5 linked regions of the Macaca mulatta genome follow. The protein of the gene in region 1 interacts with the protein of each later gene in a biochemical or structural test. Links are inferred from orthologs where the notes say so. Each region holds a gene or a part of one and is shown in the gene's direction. Other genes may lie near its edges.

Region 1 (4,099 bases):
CATTAATGAGCACCTAGGTTGACTCCATGTCTTTGCTATTGTGAATAGTACTGATGAACATGTGAGAACATATATCTTTTTGGTGGAATAATTTGTTTTCAGTTGCATATATAACCAGTAATGGGATTGCTGGGTCAAATGGTAGTTTTGTTGTAAGTTCTTTGAGAAATCTCCAAACTGTTTTCCACGATGGCTGAACTAATTTACATTCCCACTAACAGCATATAAATGTTACCTTTTCTCCTCAGCGTCACCAACATCTGTTGATGTTTTCACTTTTTTTTTTTTTCCTTTTTGAGACAGAGTCTTACTCTGTCGCCCAGGCTGGAGAGCAGTGACTCCAACTCAGCTCACTGCAACCTCCGCCTCCCGGGATTAAGCGGTTCTCCTGCCTCAGTCTCCTGAGTAGCTGGGATTACAGGCGCCCACCACCATGCCCAGGTAATTTTTGTATTTTTAGTAGAGATGGGATTTCACCATGTTGGCCAGTCTGGTCTCGAACTCCCAACCTCAGGTAATCTGCCCGCCTCAGCCTCCCAAAGCCCTAGGATTACAGGCGTGAGCCACTGTGCCCGGCCAAGAAGCCAAGTTTTAATGGGTACACAAGTGCCCAGGAATTGGAGAGTGGGGAGTGTGCGTTGACTATTAGTCAGAGACTGTCAATGGAAGGGAAGGAGTCAACGATGGGAGTGAGAGCTCTGAACTCGGTGTTCGAAGCGGGTAATTTATGGGAGGGGCATACCTATGAGCAGACGATGCACTCAGACACGGAAGATCTGTGCATTGGACAGAAGAGACACCTTTTTCCTCTGCAGTAAGAACCAAGGAGGTAAGTAAGGGGTCTGATAGATATGAGTTTGTGCATGTGTGCTGGGTGAGTAATTGAGATAATTCATATATTTGAGAAAAGACAGTGAAATATTTAAAGGTAAATATAATAAAACCAGCTGTGGCACCTATTGGATAAGGAATTACTAACTGATGATTTAGAAATTCCTTTATGTGCGTTAGGAGCTCATTTGTTATCCCCATTTTACAGATGCGCAGCCCCAGGTTCAGTAACTTGCTCTAAATGAGACTGTAGAGACTAACTCCAGCACCCGGCAGCTCTCACCTTAAGCTGCCTGGCTAAGGTCAGCAGCAAGTAACCTGGCAGCGTCTGGGGGCCTGCGGCCGAGGACAGGGCTGGAACTACACTTCCCAGTATGCCAGGCGGGGCGGGGCGCGGCGGGGAGGGCGCAGGCTCCTTCCCAGAAGCAAAAGCGGAAACAAAAGAGTCTCGCCGGCCTCCCCGCCCGCACACTCGCGCACACTCGCGCTCGGGCGCAGACGGAGCAGGGACCGGCGCCCGGAGCGAGCCAGGGAGCGGCGAACCGGGGACCCACCGCGCGGAGCCAGCTGAGCTGCCAGCGAGCCCAACTCGCGAAGACTCACGCCCCCGAGCCCCGCAGCCGACCCCTGCCGGCCGGTGTCCCCACCGCGATCCCTGATCCATGGCGCTGAAGCGGATTCAGAAAGTGAGTGCCGGGGCCGGGCCTGGGGCTGCGGGGCAGCAGGGCAGCGGCGCCTGCCCACGCTGACTCGGCCAGTGGTCCCGAGAGATATGCAGGGAAAGCACGGGATGGAAGGGTGGGCCGGGGTGCGGGCAGGGAGCTGGAGGCTCGGGCCCGGCCAGCGGGCACCGGACAGGTTAGGTGGGAGCGGGGGCAGATCCCAGGCGGCCGGGGGAGCTTGAAGGCTGGGGGCCCGTGGCGCGCTCGCGCCGGGGCCGCTCCCGGAGCCCCAGGGTAGAGAGCCTCCTCCGCGTCCAGACCGCCCCGAAATCTGTGCTTCACGGTCACGGCTGGGTTTTGCCCTCCATGAGGCTAGTTTTGACCCCTGTCATGCTGTGTTTTCTCCAGGCTGTTTCTTAAGCCTGTCTCTTTTATGTTCTTGCTTACCCGGGCTCCCCGGGAGGGCACGGAAGGTGGGGTGGGCCTGCAGCCTTTCTCCGCGGAGCTGTCGGGTTGGTTCTTTCTCCTCTGCGGTTGGCTCTTGCTCAGTTGCCCGAATGGGCTGGAAAGCCCATTTGCGGCCAAGAAGCCAAGAGAAGGCTCCTGCCCCTTCTATTTTGGTGCCTCTGCTGCTGCCACTTCAGGTCACATAGCTGTAGCGAAAACATAGTTGCTGATACACAACAAGATGACCTCCTGGCTGTGATTCACGGTGAGTCAAGCCAAACAGGTTTTTTTTGCCCCTCATGGTAAACTTAGATGTAAAGTTCGAGACACAACATAAACTGTCGCAAATAGATTGTTTTGATGCTTTGACACATGGGTATAAAATGAGGAAGAAATATGTATCTTCATCCAACAACTGTTCACCCATCTCAACCCTGTGTGTGGAATTGTCTTTTTTTCACAGTATTTATTGCCACCATTTCAGAAGCGAACATCCTTCAGAATTGATATTCGGGCATTTCTTTCTGTTCATTTTTATTTCTTGTTGGTCTGTGTACTGACCCAAGTTTTAGGTTTTACAGTTACAGTTCACACTGGGAACATTGAGAATGTGTTTGTTAAATAGGGAGTGCTTTTCACTAAGTTAAGCAACAATGGTCAGTGTATTTTGTAGTTGTTTCAGAAGAAATTAATGCCCACATTTTTATCTACTTTTTTGACCAGTAGTCCATTATAGCAATAGTAAATGTTAGAGCAGTGATAGTGACGTACACATTGTATTCTGACTAGCCACTAGTGGCATCTTTAGGTACAGAGGACAGCAACTTTTAGAGCCTGCCAGTTTTTTATTTTCAAATTCTAAATCTGTTGATCACCTGTTATTTTTTGTCCCATTTAAAGGTCGTCTCATTGTAAAACATACAGTTAACAATCAGCATCAGCATTTATTAAGTTATAATGTTTTCTTGTTTGAAGATAGTTCAGTTACACGTTGTTTTATATAAATATCCTAATTTTGAAGCCTCAGTCGGCCTCTTTACCATAACTTGCATACTTATTAATGACGACGTAATATTGGTTCACATTTGGATCAGAAAATGCACATCTTCCAAGGAAGTTTTCAAATTCTATTTCCTTCTTTCCTAGTTGTGAGAATTTTTCACATGATTTTGCACATACAAGAGCTTTTTAAATTATCACTGTGTTTTTTTAAGAGATGGGGATCTCAGTATGTTGCCCATGCTGGTCTTGAACTCCTGTCCTCCAGAGAGTCTGGGATTACAGGCACAAGTCACCATACCCAACTATAACAATAGCGTTTAAATGCTGTGCAATTTGTCCACAGTAAGTGGATATTCAAAGAAATATGAACATTGTTTGTAAATACCATACTTGGCAGTTCTCGTCAATCACCATGCTGAACTGGTGTATTTGATTTGTATTTATAATGTGTGTGTCCAAATCTTTTCTTTTTAGTATTTATTGGTTATTAGTTTATAGAGTTGTTCAGAAAAAAAAAATTACTTACATGGAATTGATATCAAACATGTGACAAATCGATATTTTGGAGAAGAAATTGGGATCATATACCATCACATCTCTGTGCGTTCATCTTTGGCTTCCCTTTCTGATATCAGGCAAGTTAACTTACACAAGTCTTTCCATTAATCACACATTCAGACCGTTTCCTCAAACCTTAGGGGTGATTATTTTGATTGATTCCCTATTTTTCCTCCTCCTTTATCTACCTCCTTGATTAGAAGCCAATTCTAGGTCAGTTGTGCCGCCTGCCATATGAACAGTTATACCATCTTCTTCTTTGATGTCATCAGTATAGACATTCTTATTTGAATCTTTCATGTTCCAACAAATGAAGATGTATACTAACTTTTGGCCTTTCTTCCTAAGCTCCTATTGAAGTGTTACTATAGTTTTCCTGTACCTAAAGTTGCAGACTGTAGAGCTGTGTGGAACCTCAGATAAGTCTGCCGTAGTGTACTAGAGGGTACCAGCACGGGAACAGCTTCTAGGGTAGTGTCTTAGAATCACCTGAGGGACGTTTTCAGACTGTCGTCACTTCTATAAATGGAGAGGTGTTGAATCCCTCAGATGGGTTGGGGTGGAAAGAAGACTGAGAACCACTGATGTTCTGGCCTGTC
Region 2 (3,985 bases), on another chromosome or scaffold:
ACATCCACAACACAGCTGTTAACACTCACTGGATCTTCACCCACACCCCATTTAATCTTCCCAACAATGCCATGCCCACTTCCCTGACGAGGAAATACAGATATTGGCTGCCCAATGTCACTAAGCCACTCCTAACTTCAAAACCCCCTTGGGCCCACCCCTCAGGTGCCCCAAAGCAACAGTGGAGACACATGGAGCTAATTACAATTTAAAGGCACCGGGTTCGATGTTTCACGCACGACCTTCCTAAGGTACCTAGTACTAGTCAGTGGCTCAGGCCTAGTGAGGGTGACAATCCAAGCCACGAGGGCACCTCTGGCACAGTCGTGACTCCACGAGCCGGCGCTTAACTCTGCTCTGTAAGTGAAAACAAGCCCCTTGGCGGGGATGACGTACCAGACCCAGGGGGCCGATCTTGGGGGCCAGCGCAGAAGTGGCACCGACTTCACCTCCGGTGCACCTCAGGTATACTGGAGGAAAAGAAGGGTTAGGGTCTCTGCAGAGGGAGCCCCCGAGCCACAGCCCTCTCAGCGTCTTTCCGGGGCTGGACACATCACCCTCTGCCTCTTCTCGAAACAGCACCGAGCGTGAGGCCGGCCACCCGCTCCTCCCTCGGGCGTGGGCAGCTCCGAACCTCACACCGCGGAGGCGTGGAGAGAGCCCCGTCGCCCGCGAACCCAGGCCAGTGGGTCCAAACGCCCGAAGACAAGCCTTACCCTAGGGCCTGCGGGCTCCCAAGCCGCCACAGGTGGTTCGGTCCTCCCTCCCCACCTACACGTGGAGAAGCTAAGGCCTAGAAAGACTGAGGCTTGGCCAGGACGGTGCAGCACCGGGAAGGCCTCTAGGAGGCAGCGGCTTTAAGAGCCCCATATTAGAAAGCTTTGCACGCGCGGCGGGGCCGAGGGATGCTCCATCCCGCAGCCCCGGCCACAACGAGAGCACGCACCGACTTTGATCTCGTTGGGGTCGAACTTCGGCGGCATGGTGGAGGCGGCTGGTGTCGGATGAACCCGGATTCGGGACGACCGAAGAAGGCTGCACCTTCGCCCCCTCCGAGCCGAACGCCGAGAGGCCGGAAATCGCGCGGACGACGCCGGATATAGGGAGGAAAACGCGGTTATCGCGAGAACTGTCGTCACTGCCCAGCCTTCCAGAGACGCTTTTTTGTCGCCATGTTTGTTGTGGGCAGGCGCCTGAGGCTGACGGCTTGCGAGCTGGGCACCGCGATGCGCTGAAGGTAGAGATTCCGAAAGGGAGATCGGGCAGTTCGCTCTGGAGACGTCTGAGAAGAGGGGTTGCTCCCGTGATCCCAGGCCTGGCTGTTTCCCATACTCCTTTATCGTGAGTGTCACCCCGGTCCCCAACACCCAATCCCAGAGCCCCGCCCCTCCCCTGAGGGGTCCGTTGTCCCATTCCGAGACCCCAGTACCGCAGCGACCCCTGCCCCCTCCAGCACTTGGTGTGTGCACTTTAGTTATCAAAACAGTCTATGTGGAAATCCAGTCCCGCTTTTCATTCTGAGAGTCCGCGGTTCCTAGAGCCTCAGACTTCGTCATCCCGGTCTGCGTGACTTTCTGAGATTCTGAGTTTGTCCCCAGCACCTGCGTTTGAAGGAGACCAGACTCCGGCTCCGCCCGGCCCGTGCCGGGTGGTCTGCGGCCCCGAGTCCGTGACCAAGCCCTCCGAGTGATCAGCCTGCCCTCGGGTGCACCCGCGGTTCCCAACGTGGGGGACCCCTCCATCCGTAAAGCCAGGTCAGCCACTGCCCACCCCACCCCAGGAAATATGGATGTGGCCCTCCCCCCGCATCTAGGCTGGACGTCGGAAAGGGAGGGACAGGCATGTGGGGCAGCCTGGAAAGAGCTGATCTTCTGGGAGGGGTGGGAGAGCGATGGTGGTTGGGAGGAAGTCGGGGGGAGGGCTGCACATCGGGAAGGGAGTGATGGGAGAGGGCTGTTTTCAAACCATTCCCCATCCTTGCAGGCAGGTGGAGTGACAAGAAGGTCTTGAGCTGGCTCTGCAGGCCTGGCTGCCTCCCCAGACAGCCCCGCCCCTGTGGGTGCAGAGCTGCCATCTCTGCCCATCCCTCTGAGGACTGGGTGTATGTCTTCTTCAGCTGCATCTCCTCCCAGGGCTGTCTTCTCCCTAGCTCCTCTAGTGGGCCCTGAATCAATGCTGCTTGCATGTGGGTGCTTTGTGGCTCACATTTATTGAGCACTCGTGTGCCAGGTCCTGTATTATGCGCTTGACATATATGAAGTCATTGGATCCTCACAGAAGCCAGTGTTGATAGCATGGTTACTTAAACTTTACAGATGAGGAAACTGAGGCTCTGAGAGGTGAACCAAGGTGACCTCAGCGGTCGTGGGTGGCAGATCTCGGATTCAAATCCAGTTCTCTTTCATCCCAAAGCCTGTGCTGCTCACCATGCACTTCCCTGGGTGATTGCTTCCTGGCTCATTGCCATCCCTTATCCTGCTCTGATATTTACAGACACTGTGCAGGCCCTGGGCAGGCAGTGAGCACCTGGCTCTGAGTTCAGGACAGTGTACTTCGTGTGTGCCAAGTTATGTGAGCACCAAGGAGTCGGGCAAATCCCACAGGTCAGGACTTGAGAGACCACGGTTCCAGGCTGCAATCCAGGCTGTACAGCCAGGCCACTGAACTTAATAAGCATCTGTTTCTTCACTTTACTTATTTATTTATTTATTTATTTATTTATTTATTATTTTCTGAGACAGAGTCTCCCTCTGTCACCCAGGCTGGAGTGCAGTGGCGTGATCTCGGCTCACTGCAACCTCCGCCTCCTGGGTTCAAGTGATTCTCGTGCCTCGGCCTTCCAAGTAGCTGGGACTACAGGCGCACGTCACCACGCCCAGCTACTTTGTGTATTTTTAGTAGAGACGGGGTTTCACCATGTTACCCAGGCTGGTCTCGAACTCCTAGGCTCAAGTGACCCACCCGTCTTGGCCTCCCAAAGAGCTGGGATTACAGGCATGAGCCACCACACCCGGCCTGTTTCTTCACTTTAAATAGGGATATGGTGAGAATAAAATGGAATAATAACTGAGGGTGGTAAGCTGAGGATTGCTTTTTAATTTGTATTCACCTCAGAGGTCTCTTTGATCATGATGTAGTTGAGCTCCCCAAGGTCCTGGCTGGCTCTAGTTTGTTCCTGCTGATCCCGCTCTGACAGTCTAGGGGGCTGGAAGTGATTCATTGGCAGAGTCTGTTAGAGTCCCCAAAGAACAGCCTTGGAAAGCGCCTGAGGAAACTTCTCTAAGTTTCCCCAGAACAGGAAAAGGATAATGCCAAGACCTCACTATGGGTTGGTGGCAAATATGGGCCCCAACCCAGGTCATCTGGCTTGTCTTTGTCTCCACCTCATCCTGCTGCTTAATGTTTAGTCAACAAAGAACAAGGAGTACTGAGCACCTGTTGTGGGCTCAGGACACTGACAGAAGGACTAGAAAGACGCATCCCCTGACCCCATGGAACTCACTAGAAAGATGCAACCCCTGACCCCATGGAACTCACTAGAAAGATGCAACCGCTGACCCCATGGAACTCACTAGAAAGATGCAGCCCCTGACCCCATGGAACTCACTAGAAAGACGTGGCCCCTGCCCCCATGGAACTCCGTGGAACTAGGAAGATGCAGTCCCTGGCTCCATGGAACTCATTAGGAAGACAGCCCCTGGCCCCATGGAAATCACTAGAAAGACGCAGCCCCTGCCTCCATGGAACCAGTACTAGAAAGACGCAGCCCCTGGCCCCATGGAACTTGCTAGATAGATGTGACTCCTGACCCCAGTGAACTCACTAGAAAGACATGGCCCCTGCCTCCATGAAACTCACTAGAAAGACACAGCCCCTGCGCCCATGGAATTCACTAGAAAGACGCAGCCCCTGCGCCCATGGAACTCATTAGAAAGATGTGACCCCTGACCCCATGGAACTCACTAGAAAGACACGGCCCCGGCCG
Region 3 (4,266 bases), on another chromosome or scaffold:
GCTGGGACTACAGGTGCACATCACCATGTCCGGCTAATTTTTACTTTTGTAAAGATGGGGTCTCACTCTATTGCCCAGGATGATCTCAAACTCCTGGCTTCAAGCCATCTTCCCACCTCCACTTCCTAAAGTGTTGGGATTACAGTTATAAGCCACTGTGCCCAGCCCAGACTCATTTATCTAATTACTGACTTGACATCTCTACTTGAAGGTGTACTTAGCAATTGTTTTTTGTTTTTTGATTTTTGTTTTTGAGACACAGTCTCACTCTGTTGCCCAGCCTGGAGTGCAGTGGCATGATCTTGGCTCACTGCAACCTCCCCCTCCTGGGTTCAAGCAATTCTTGTGCCTCAGCCTCCCTAGTAGCTGGGATTACAGGCATGCACCACCATGCCCAGCTAATTTTTGTATTTTTAGTAGAGACGGGTTTCACCATGTTGGCCAGACCGGTCTCGAACTCCTGACCTCAAGTGATCTGTCTGCCTCGGCCTCCCAAAGTGCTGGGATTACAGGCGTGAGCCACTGCGCCCGGCCAGCAATTATTTTAAGAGTAGGGATCTTGCTATGTTGCCAAGGCTGGTCTTGAGCTCCTGGCCTCAAGCAATGCTCCCGCCTTGGCCTCCTAAAGCGCTGGGATTATAGACATGAGCCCCTGTGCCCAGCAGGAGCAGTTTTTTAGTCAGTTATTCACTTGCCCACTAAAACCTAAACTTCCTGAGGCCAGGAACACATTGTACTTTTTTTTTTTTTTTTTTTTCTCTGAGATGGAGTGCAGCTCTGTTGCCCAGGCTGGAGTGCAGTGGCGCCATCTTGGCTCACTACAGTCGCTGCCTCCCAGGTTCAAGCGATTTTCCTGCCTCAGCCTCCTGCGTAGCTGGGATTACAGGCATCCGCCACCACACCCGGTTAATTTTTTTATTTTTGGTAGTGACGGGGTTTCACCACGTTGGCCAGGCTAGTCTCCAACGTCTGACCTCAAGTTATCCGCCCGCCTCGGCCTCCCAAAGTGATGGGATTACAGGCGTGAGCCACTGTGCCCAGCCACGGGACCCACTTTACTCTTAATTTCCCCAAATCCTAGAACAGTGCGTGGCCCACAGGAAATCCACAGAATATATCTGCAGAATGAATGAATGGCTTGCCAAAAGAATTAGGGCAAATAAGTAGATATCGAGTAAACGTCCACAACCACCTACCCCATACCCTTTTAAGCTCTAGGGAGATGGCGGCTCCTGTGGGGTCCGGGATGGGGGTCTCCGTTCCTTTCATCCTTCCGCCTCGTGGGGGAGTCAAGTCTCCGCAGGCGGAGAGCCCGGATGCAGGCGCGGCTAGGCGGCCCTCTCTGTGGTGAGCCCCCGGGTCCCTCCTCCACAGCACCCGGAGTGCCTCTATGGTTCTTCCTGTCCTTAGTCGGGAGGGGGCGCTGTGCGCAGGCGCGAGGTGACGCCGCGGCAGGACCGGAAGGAGTGTAGCGGCTGCCTCAGCGGCAGCGACGGAGCTCGCAGCTGTGGCTTCTGAAGAGTAGGCGGCGCGGTACCGAAGGCCGCCGAACCCGCCTGGCTAGCCGGCGAGTTGCGTGGCGAGTGAGTGTCGGTCGCGGGGCGCGCTTGAGCTCCTGGGCGGGTCTGTGAGGCGAGGCGGCCTCTCTGCGGGACGCCTCCGTGGAGCTCCGGGGGTGGGGGCGGGGGCGCGGGCCGTGAGGGCCGCCGAGCTGAGGGGCGCGGGCCGAGGCCCGGGCGGGATCGGGCCAAAGGACTGGGCTGGGCGTCTCGAGCCCCGTGCGGAGGCGAGGCGGGAGCGACAAAGGCGCTGAGCGACTGGGCGACCCCCTCCCGCCTCTTCGCGAAGTTTCGCGGGCCGGCCCTTTGGGTCAGCTGCGCGAGGGCGATAGCCCGGGAGACCGCGCTTCCCTCCCCCGGGCCCGAGGTCGCCGCGGAGGCGGGGTCCGTGCACCCGAGCGCGGCCTGGAGAAGCGGCGGGAGGCGGCCGGTCCCTGTGAACCCCAGCCCAGGCGGGCGGCGTTTTTCCACCTCTCCCCTCACATCTGGAGCGGGTGTTGTTCCGCGAAAGTTGGCGACTGTCACCGGGCACTCGCGAGGGCGCCGCAAGTGCGTCAAACCCTTCTGCGGGGCGCTGGGGGCTGGCCCGGCTCGGGTGCCCGGGCGCTGGGCAGGGAGCGAGGCCGCTGTCCCCGCGTCGAGGTGGCCCGGCTCCCGGTGTAACGGGACCCAGGGATCCAAGACTTTGGGCCACTTGCAACCAATCCGGGAGCGTGCGCGGCGTGCGGGTTACAGAAATTTCTGACAAATCTGCCAGGGCTCTGTGCGTCCCTGAGGGCCTGGTTAGCAGTTGTCCCCGGTACTTCGATCGTGCAAAAAGAACGTTCTTTTTTCTGTTCTTTTTTTTTTTTTTTTTTTTTTTTGAGACGAAGTCTTGCTCTGTTGCCCAGGCTGGAGTGCAGTGACGCGATCTCTGCTCACTGCAACCTCCGCCTCCCTGCGTCAAGGAATTCTGCCTCAGCCTCACAGGGATTGCTTCAGCTGGGATTCCAGGCATGTGCCACCACACCTGGCTAATTTTTGTATTTGTAGTAGAGACAGGATTTCACCATGTTGGCCAGGCTGGTCTCGAACTTCTGACCTCAGGTGATCCCTTCTTTGGCCTCCCAAAGTGCTACATAGTCTTTTCAAAAAACGTGTCAGCTGTGTTCTCCCTGGGCCCTTGGGCCCTTCAGTAAGAAGCGCCCTGGCTGAAAACCCACACGTTTACCTACAGAGGAAGCACTGTGATGTAAGGGTGAGCAGGGCAGAGGGCCTCACCGTGGCCCTCACACACACCTGGCTCCAGCTTGGCCAGGCCATTTTGCGCTCGTGGGCCTGTGCCTCACCTCAAAAATGGGGTTTCTTCCCTTATGAAGAAGACCCATGAATTAATAATGGAATTTCCAGGAATGCTAAAAACTAAGTTTGGTGTATTGTTTTCAAGCTGTTACTCCTGGAAGGGGCTGGGTTGGCATTGTTTTAGAGGTTAGGAGCCAAACATAGCTCATCTATTCTCCAGCTGTTTTTAATCCTCCAGCTTCCTGCAATAGTCAGGCACAAGGTCTTAGAAAAATGGGTTTGTGCTGCTGTATGTTTTGGTGGGCAATAGGAACACTAATATGTATCACCTTTGTTTACTGAATGGGATGCAGGTGGGGGACCAGAGCACATCCGCGTCCCTCGGAAATGGTGGCGTTTAAATGTAATATGTCTCTTCAGTTCCTCTCTGCCCCACCCACCCCAGCCCATTGATTGAGCTTTTTTTTTGGGGGGGGGGGGGAGACGGAGTCTGGCTCTGTTCAGGCTAAAGTGCAGTGGTGTGATCTCTGCCCACTGCAACCTCCACCTCTCAGGTTCGAGTGATTCTCCTGCCTCAGCGTCCCGAGTAGCTGGGATTACAGGCGTGCGCCACTACGGCCGTCCAAGTTTTTTTTTTTTTTTTTGAGACGGAGTCTCGCTCTGTCGCCCAGGCTGGAGTGCAATGGCCGGATCTCGGCTCACTGCAAGCTCCGCCTCCCGGGTTCACGCCATTCTCCTGCCTCAGACTCCCGAGTAGCTGGGACTACAGGCGCCCGCCACCTCGTCGGGCTAGTTTTTTGTTTTTTTTTTTGTTTTGTTTTGTTTTGTTTTGTTTTTTGAGACGGAGTCTTGCTTTGTCACCCAGGCTAGAGTGCAGTGGCCGGATCTCAGCTCACTGCAAGCTCCGCCTCCCAGGTTCACGCCATTCTCCTGGCTCAGCCTCCCGCGTAGCTGGGACTACAGGCGCCTGCCACCTCGCCCGGCTAGTTTTTTGTGTTTTTAGTAGAGACGGCGTTTCACCATGTTAGCCAGGATGGTCTCGATCTCCTGACCTCGTGATCCGCCCGTCTCGGCCTCCCAAAGTGCTGGGATTACAGGCTTGAGCCACCGCGCCCGGCCTGTTTTTTGTATTTTTTAGTAGAGACGGGGTTTCACCGTGTTAGCCACGATGGTCTCGATCTCCTGACCTCGTGATCCGCCCGTCTCGGCCTCCCAAAGTGCTGGCTTGAGCCACGGCGCCCGGCCTTTTTTTTTTTTTTTTTTTTTTTTTTAAGAGACGGAGTCTGGCTCTGCTGCCCAACTCCTGGGTTTAAGTGACCTTCGGCCTCCCAAAGCGCAAGAATTACAGGCTTGAGCCACCGTGCTCTTGCAGAACATTCTTTACACGCTGAGAAGGGAGAGAGGAACGGGAAGATTTTATGAAACA
Region 4 (4,183 bases), on another chromosome or scaffold:
ATAAATAAAATAAATAAAGAGAGAAAATATTGAGAAACAAATGAAAACAAAAACACAGCATGCCAAAATTTACTGGACACAGTGAAAGCAGTGCTCAGGGGAAATTTTATAGCTATAAGTGCTTCAAAAGCATAGACAAAATTGCCAGGGTCTGGGGTTATGGGGATGGGAGGAGGGAACAGGAAGTTATGGTTTAATGGGGACAGAGTTTCAGTTTCAGTTTAGCAAGACGACCAGAATTCTAGAGATAGCTGATGGTGATTATTGCACAATTTGAAAGGAATGTGCTTTATTGTTGGGGTTTTTTTTTTTTTTTTTTTTCAGATGGAGTTTTGTTCTTGTTGCCTAGGCTGAAGTTCAGTGACTGTTGGAGTGAGTGAACGATCTTGGCCCACGGCAACCTCCGCCTCCCAGGTGAAAGGCTTCTCCTGCCTCAGCTTCCTGAGTAGCTGAGGCTACAGGCATGGGCAACCACGCCTGGCTAATTTTTGTATTGTTAGTAAAGACAGGGTTTCACCTTGTCGGTCAGGCTGCTCTCGTATTCCTAGGCTCAAGCGATCCGCCCGTCTCGGCCTCACAAAGTGCTGGGATTACAGACGTAAGCCACCGTACCCAGCTCCTTTGCATAAATAAATGATATTGACTTTCTTCTTGCAGCTCAGGAATTAGATGTTATTAAATTTGCTTAAATTTAAGAAATGGCTGGGTACGGTGGTTCACCGCTGTAATCCCAGCACTTCGGGTTGCTGAGGCAGGCGGATCGCTTGCGTCCAAGAGTTGGAGGCCAGCCTCGGCAACAGTGAGACCCGCCCGCTCTCGGCATCGCCCCTTCCCCACCTCCTTTCCCCATCTCTACAAAAAAAAAACCAAAAATAAATAAATTAGTCCGGCATAGTGGTGACTGCCTGTGGTCCAGCTACGCAGGAGGCTGAGGTGGGAGGATCGCTTGAACCCTGGAGGTCGAGGCCGCAGGGAGCCATGATCGCTCCACTGAACACCAGCCTGGGCGACAAAACAAGACCTTTTCCCAAAATAGATTAAATAAATAAATAAATAAATTTAAGGAAAAAGCAATTTGATTCGAAGATAAATAGTGATAAGTGCAAGTGGTGCCGAACTAACGACTTAAATTTGGAAAACAGCGGCCCACGCGCAGAGCCCGTCCCAATTCTGGCAGCCTTTGGATCTGGCTTCCACGTTTTCCAGATTTCCCTCGGCCTCCAGCTCGCTTGGGTCAGAGGGGCCCCAGGGGCCGCGAGGGGCCGCCCACCCACGAGCCCCGCCCCCAACCGCTCACCTCCCCGCGAGCCCCGCCCCCTCCGGCCGCGAGCCCCGCCCCCTTGGCCTACTCCTCATCGGCCGCCGTTGCGCGGCGCAGAGCGGCAGCAAGATGGCGGCGCAACAGCAAGACGGCGGGGGAGCTGCGCAGCTGGCGGGGCCGGCGGCGGAGGCTGATCCCCTAGGCCGCTTCACGTGTCCCGTGTGCTTAGAGGTGTACGAGAAGCCGGTACAGGTGCCCTGCGGACACGTGTAAGCGGCGAGCCCGGGCCTGGTCGGGAGGCACTTAACTGACTGGGAAGGAAATGGAGCCGAGGAGCGAGATGCGTCTCAGGGCGGGAGCCAGAGGACCCACCCAGAGGGGCCTCCCGGGGGTGTCCCCCGGGGCTCCTAAGGGCCGTGAAAGCTGCCGGGGCGCTCTTCTGTCCCGCCCCGCTTACTTCTAAGTATCCCGTCCCTCCGCCCGTCTTAGCGGGGCAGCTGCTGTCCGTTGAGCGCCTGCAATGTTCCAGGCGGCCTGTCAGTCTCCTTCCCACACGTGATAGTGGACTCGTGCCCTGCGGGGACTTTAGGCTCGGAAGTCCGCCCTTGGAGAGCCGACGTTTCCTTTCTAGACCGCGTCGCTCTTAAAGCATAGGACATTTGGCATTGAGTCTAGCTGTGGCGAGTTATTCTAATACGAACCAAAGTTGGGAGAAACGCTGGACTAGACTAAAACAACAAAAGGGAAGTCTTTATGGGGATCTGGCCAGTTTGCCCTTAGCTGTGAAAGGGGGTGGGAGTTGGCAGATGGGATTGTTAGCATTCTACTTCCTGTGTAGGAGGTTTGTTTCTTTCAGTTTTCAATTAAGCCTTTATGACCTGAATACTGTGAATAGACTGGTTATAATGATTAAAGCAGATATGTGTAAAGATGTCCAGTCCTGGGCTGTGGCCGGGGCTTTCGAGGTTGGTCGATTTGAATCTAAGCCTTGTTCCGTCAGACGCACAGACACACCTGAGTTGAAAGAATTGTAGACAACGTGGCCACCTGCTTCTTGCCTCAGAATTGGCTTTTCCTCTCGTCTCTCTCAGTGCTTACTGTGGGATCACCTTGGCATTGGTCTTGGCACCCCTTCACTAGTCAGCAGACACAGTAGCCATTGCACTCCATGGGCATTATTCTATAGCCACCCTGCAGCGGGGGAGGGTTGGCAGCCATTTTACAGGTGAATACACCGAGGGTCCGACGCTTGCCTGTCGAAGGGTCGCCGTGGCCTAACTCTTCCCAGATATACTGCAGGTGACCGTTTTAATAGTCTAGAGAACAGTGCTTGGCACCTAACTGGCTGCTTTTTGCCTCATCATGTAGCTTTAGGCTATTCCTCTTTGCAATTCAGTTAGCCTGGAACTCCTCCCCAACCCCCCCCCCCCCCCCCCCCGCTTCGGGCTTCAAGTCCCTGGTTAGTTTACCTCATCAAACACCCATCCCCATCTAAATTACTTCCCCCACTTCCTTTCTGGGACTTAACTTCCTTCTCCTTGCTTGCACAGAGCAAAACTTACAGCTCATGATGGAGTGGCCATATCTTTTTTGCCCCTCAACTGACTGGAATGGCCTCTATGTGCCAGATCTTGGGGTAGACTCTGCCTTCAGAGTTTACAAATCAGTACCAATGACTCGTCAAACTATTGTAAAAATTCATTCTGCAAGTGGGAGGGTATTTCAGGGATCACACCTCTGTGCGTGGGGTGAATGATCAGGTAATGGTTGAATGAACTAATAAGTCGTGTAAGCAAGCTTCATGAGAGTTGAAGTGGTCTTTAGCTTTTTCATTGAATCCGCTTATCCTTGGATCAGGTTTACCTGATTTTGGATTAATTCAGTGGATTTCATTTACTATTAACATTTGTAAAAAGGCTAGACCCAGCACAGTTTGCTAAATGAAGAGCAGCAAAATTTGAGATTTTCTTGAGCTGGGTGAACCTTTCCTAGGTCAGAGGGCAAGGAACTACTGGTATTCAAACCTTGGCTCTTCTCTATCCTATCCTCGCTGTCCTAGCCCCACGTGCTCAGCAGTTCAGTGCAAATTGAAGACAGATGGAAGCACCTCTGTGAGGGCAGCCTGAGTCCCCCTTAGCTCCAACCGAATGCTTTCTCCTGTGCCTACTTGATTTTTACCTTTTGTGCTTGGAAAGTTGAGCATCACTACAACTCTGGCTGGGGCACTGGATTTTTATAAAACTTTATTTCAAGCCCTGAATGACTGCGTTCTCCAATCCAGTAGAATACAGCTGGAGAAAGGCAGCTGGCTGGGTGCCCAAGAGAGGAGAATTTCTTCCTAGCACTGTGACAGAGTGGAGCGTCAGAAGGCTGAACTAGGAAAGGGCCCATAAATAGGAAATAGAAACTGAAAAGCCAGCCCAGGATATTTGAGCAGTTCAAAAGCAGTCTGGTAGTTTGGGTATGTCTCAGGCACAAAGTGACTCATGAACATTTGATAGATGAGCTGAACCTGTGTGTGTGCTTGCAAAGAGACTTCGAGCTGCTTTTATCTGCATGCTGGGTTTGGTTGCATTATACTCACTGGACCCTCTGTGCTCTCTTGGGTTCCTGTTGTCATCTGCATTTGTGAACAGGCAACAGAAGTGATGGCCACAGGCCCTGCCTGTGTCTACTGCCTTATCGCTTGCCCTTCTCACCATGGTCTACCGCATTGTGGCCCCCAAGGTCTGCCTGCCTGCCTTTCCAGTCCTCATTTGTGTGTGGCATCATCTTGGTGTGGAGCTCTGCACCCAGATCTGTGTGGCTGTCCTCGTAATCAGGTCCCACCCAGCTCAAATGCCAACTCCTCAGAAGCAGCTTTCTGTGATCCCTCCAGCTGGTCTGTTTGCCATATTTCCTTCATATATTTAATCACTATCT
Region 5 (4,045 bases), on another chromosome or scaffold:
ACTACAGGTGCGCACCACCACGCTGGCCTAATTTTTGTATTTTTGGTAGAGATGGGGTTTCACCATGTTAGCGAGACTGGTCTCGAACTTCTGACCTCAGGTGATCCACCCGCCTTGGCCTACCAGAGTGCTGGGATTACCGACGTGAGCCACCGTGCTCAGCCGCAGGAGGACTGTAGATGGTATCATACTGTGTGTTGAAATTTTGCCAAGAGTAGATTTTACCCTCACAAACAAACACAAAGAGGGTAGTCATTTCACAATGTGTCTATGAAATCTGTTGCATACCTTGTATACAACCAAAAATCAATTTTTAGAAATTGGCTTCAATCGTGTATGATATATATGTATATGCACATGTATATGAGAGATTATTTATGTATACGTATAACAAGACACATGTTTATGTATAGGTGGTTCCCAACTTAAAATGGCTCAACTCACAATTTTCTGACTTTGTGATGGGTTTATTGTAGTATTAAATACATTTGCAACTTACAATATTTTCATCTTACGATGGGTTTATCAGGACAAAGCCCCATGGTAAGTCCAGGAGCATATTTATGCATACACAGGTATGTGTACATGATACATATTGATATGTATTGATGCTGTGTGTGTATATTGATGCATATGTGTGCTGTGTATGTATGAGGCAAATCTGCGCATGTCTGTGTACATGGTAAATATTTACGTCCGTCTGTGCGTGTCATAGACATAGAACAGGTGGGGTGTAAACAGACGGGCTGGGCCTAGCTGCTCCTTTCCCGCCTCACTCACTCGAGTCTGGCACCAGATTGGCCGCTCCGGGTGCCGACCCCTGCACCCCACCCTGCACCACGCACCCTGCCGTGCACCCCACCCCGGCCCACGCCTCGCACTCCGCCTTCCCTGCATCCCGCCCCGCACCCAAAACCTCCCTCCCCCCGCCGCGCCCCCCGCCGCGCCCCCCGCCGCGCCCCCCGCCGCGCCCCCCGCCGCGCCCCCCGCCGCGCCCCCCGCCGCGCCCCCCGCCGCGCCCCCCGCCGCGCCCCCCGCCGCGCCCCCCGCCGCGCCCCCCGCCGCGCCCCCCGCACGCACCAGGCCCCGCCCACTCCGCCGCGTGCCCAGGTCACCGCCCTCCTCCCCAGGCTCCAGCGCGCCTTGCGGGGCCGCGCACGCTGGCGGAGCCGCCGGGAAGAGCGCCGTGCCGTCGATGGCGGAGGCGCGCACGTCTGCAGGGCCGCGCACGCAGTGACGGCTGACCGCCATCTTCCCTCCCGAGGCGGCAGTTCCAGGTGCAAGCGCCGGGTTTGCTGCCCGCTGGGCGCCCCTGCAGCGGCCGGAGCAGTGGCCGGCGTGGATGAGGGGCAGGCGAGGCAGGGCCGCCCCTCCAGTGTTGCCGCCCCTCCCGCCCCAGGGCAGGGCTGGGAGGGTACAGCCCGGGGGCGGGCTCGGGTCGCCTCCCGGCCGCCGCGTCCTCGCTGCCCTGGGCCGGGCGGGCGGGCGCCGAGAGCCTCCCAGCCCGCCCCGTGCCCCGCCCGCCCGGCTGCTTCCGCGGCGGCGCCGTCCGCACATGGGCTAGGCTGCCAGGATGTTCAGCTTCGAAGGCGACTTCAAGACGCGGCCCAAGGTGTCTCTTGGCGGCGCGAGCAGGAAGGTGAGGCCCGGGTTGGCGGGGCTCCTTCGGCTCGGGACCTGCGCGGCCGGGGCTCGGGGCTGGACTCGGGGCCTCCCTGGCCGGGACTCGGGGCTTCCTCGCCGGATCTCGGGTCAGCCCCGGCAAGGACTCGGGGTTGGATTCGGGGCCGAGACTTGGGGCCAGGACTCTGCCTAGGACTTAGGGCTGGACTCGGGGCCTCCCTGGCTGGAACTGGAGGCCGCGCCCGTGGGGGCCTTGCCTGTCCGCTGTGCTTCGGGACCCGGGCGCGCTGGCCGTGGCTCCCTTCCATGCAGGCGGCCGGGGAACCCTGGCATGCTTTGTGCCACCCAAGGTGAACTTACCCTTTCTGGGTGTTTGCTTTCAGAAATGGGGCTTTCCGTGCTCGCTCCCGCATGGCATCAGGGAGTGGCTGCTTTTCGAATGCCACCTGAAGGGCGTTTTCGGTTGTAGAAGGTGAACGGCGCGCATTTGCTGATGTCGATAATCTCTGAAGTGGAAGCAGAACGCCTCATGAATAGCCACGTGTTTGAATCCAAGACCAGGGCAATTATTCGCTACCAGCCTCCCGGAAACTGTGGAGAGACTCCGGACTTGTATCTGTTGTGATGGGCCATAAGTTGTTCGCATGGTCATTGTTTAGAATAAGGGTAGGCAAACCATGACGCCTCTGTTCTAGTCTAGAATTTCCAGCTGTCTGTCCCTGAAGACGGGCATCGGTTGGTTCACTGGAACCGCTAAGTCTTTGAATGCTGTGTGGTCTTGCTCCCGCCCCTCCCTTCCCACCCCTTCCCATCATTTCTGAAATATTCTTTAAATTGCTTCACCTAGTTTTTGTTGTTTGTCAGTATATTCTGTATATCACAACCACCAGGTAGGCACGTAACGCGGAGTGGATGCTGGCAGGCCAAGGAGGAACTGCTGTTAAGATTGTGCCATGGTGCTGTGTTTGGTAGTTTCTGAGGGTAGAAGGGAACCTGGGTCAAGAGTTGGGAGAGAAGTGTGCCGATCCTTTTTAAGCTTTGAGGTTTGTGTGATGGTGATTGCTTGCAAGTCGCTGTGCTCCACAACTAAGTACTGTGCGGTTACAGGGTGGGCGTGGTAGCACCTAGGGGCTTCCACGTTAATGAAAATTTCTTAAGAGATCAAAGGATTTCTCCGGTTAGAAGAGACTTCCGAGAATCTCTGGACCAAATTTCCTTGCTTACAAGTTGGGAAGGTGAGCTGCAGAGCATTTGAACGAGTGCACATTCACACAGCAAGCTAGTGGCAGACCACCTGAGACTCCATGCCATTTTCATAGCGCGGCGCGGCCTCTGTTGCGGGCATGAACACCCCACGGGCCATGGTTGTTGGTCCGTTTTCACCAAGGAGTGCATCTCTGCTCTGAGGGAGTGAGGTTTCTTATCTGTTGATCAGAATCTCAAAGGAAGATACCCTGAGCTGTGTGAAACAATCACCCCTTTAAAAACAAAACACTTTTTATTGGGGTATAAGGTAAGATACAGTCAGCTTCACAAGCGCTAAGGAGATCCTTGTGCAAGTGAAATTGAAGAGGAAGGGCGTCTCAGCTGGAGGCTAGCTTTAGCCCCATCTCACCAGGAGCTTGCCACAGTTGGCCCTAATTGCTGCAGAGGGGCTGGTGGCTGTAGGTTCCCCCCCGCCCCGGGATGAGGGTGGGAGTGTTGCACTGCTGACCCTGAGCCGAGGGCCATTCTTCTGGGAGAGAGTGGCAGTAAAGAGCCCTTAGTAGCAACTGGCAGCAGCTGGGGCATGGGTGCCCTGGCCTGGTTAAGGAATCTGGGTGGGGACCCAGCTGTATGTACAGCTTGAAGGATTTTTGCATATGGACACTCTCCTGTAGAGGGAATACCACTCACATCAAAGGAAGACCATTCCCAGCATTCCAGAGGCTCCCTTGCACTCTCACCCTTTAATTACAGTCATGTGTGACTTAAAGAGGGGGACACTGTCACTAGGCCAATTGGTTGTTGTGGGACCATCAGAGTGCACTTAACACACACCTAGCTGGTGTTGCCCACTACACACCTAGCGGCTTGGTACAGCCAGTTGCTCCTGTGCTACCCTCCTGGACAGCGTGTTTCTGTACTGAATACTGTAGGCAACTCTTAATGCAGTGGTGAATATTTGTGCATCCAAACATAGATACAGTAAAAATACAAATTATAATCTTATGGTACCACGGTGTTTATGTGGTCTGTTGTTGACAGACTGAAAGGTCATTATGCCGGGTATGTCTGTATTCCAGCCCCACAAAGGTGACTGTCCTCCTGACCTCCGTTACTGTAGATTAGCGTTACCTGTTGAACTTCAGGGTCATGGAGCCACTTGCCGCTTGTCCTTTGTGCCTGGCTTGTTTGGCTTGGCTTCTGTCTTAGAGGCGGA

Evidence for each region. The genes of interacting proteins can lie anywhere in the genome.
Region 2: the proteins of UBE2D1 (region 1) and LRSAM1 form a complex in vitro, tested with the Homo sapiens proteins (2 studies listed by BioGRID, with this or other methods). The link is inferred for Macaca mulatta from reciprocal best matches to the Homo sapiens genes UBE2D1 and LRSAM1.
Region 3: the proteins of UBE2D1 (region 1) and RNF216 form a complex in vitro, tested with the Homo sapiens proteins (2 studies listed by BioGRID). The link is inferred for Macaca mulatta from reciprocal best matches to the Homo sapiens genes UBE2D1 and RNF216.
Region 4: the proteins of UBE2D1 (region 1) and RNF114 form a complex in vitro, tested with the Homo sapiens proteins (3 studies listed by BioGRID, with this or other methods). The link is inferred for Macaca mulatta from reciprocal best matches to the Homo sapiens genes UBE2D1 and RNF114.
Region 5: the proteins of UBE2D1 (region 1) and UBE3C form a complex in vitro, tested with the Homo sapiens proteins (8 studies listed by BioGRID). The link is inferred for Macaca mulatta from reciprocal best matches to the Homo sapiens genes UBE2D1 and UBE3C.

The regions. Positions count from the first base shown.
Region 1 is NC_133414.1:91,527,774-91,531,872, reverse strand, and holds the start of UBE2D1 (ubiquitin-conjugating enzyme E2 D1), read left to right. Parts: upstream 1-1,290; 5' UTR 1,291-1,493; coding exon 1,494-1,517; intron 1,518-4,099.
Region 2 is NC_133420.1:20,261,743-20,265,727, reverse strand, and holds the start of LRSAM1 (E3 ubiquitin-protein ligase LRSAM1), read left to right. Parts: upstream 1-1,178; 5' UTR 1,179-1,341; intron 1,342-1,598; 5' UTR 1,599-1,754; exon of another isoform or gene 1,755-1,805; intron 1,806-1,983; exon of another isoform or gene 1,984-2,101; intron 2,102-3,985. Other genes in the region: RPL12 (large ribosomal subunit protein uL11), read right to left, coding at 397-470, 947-983.
Region 3 is NC_133408.1:44,014,585-44,018,850, reverse strand, and holds the start of RNF216 (E3 ubiquitin-protein ligase RNF216), read left to right. Parts: upstream 1-1,459; 5' UTR 1,460-1,583; intron 1,584-4,266.
Region 4 is NC_133415.1:102,775,410-102,779,592, forward strand, and holds the start of RNF114 (E3 ubiquitin-protein ligase RNF114), read left to right. Parts: upstream 1-1,376; 5' UTR 1,377-1,390; coding exon 1,391-1,530; intron 1,531-4,183. UniProt on the Homo sapiens protein: E3 ubiquitin-protein ligase that promotes the ubiquitination of various substrates. In turn, participates in the regulation of many biological processes including cell cycle, apoptosis, osteoclastogenesis as well as innate or adaptive immunity.
Region 5 is NC_133408.1:196,597,952-196,601,996, forward strand, and holds the start of UBE3C (ubiquitin-protein ligase E3C), read left to right. Parts: upstream 1-1,238; 5' UTR 1,239-1,573; coding exon 1,574-1,639; intron 1,640-2,006; exon of another isoform or gene 2,007-2,247; coding exon of another isoform or gene 2,248-2,289; intron 2,290-4,045. UniProt on the Homo sapiens protein: E3 ubiquitin-protein ligase that specifically catalyzes 'Lys-29'- and 'Lys-48'-linked polyubiquitin chains.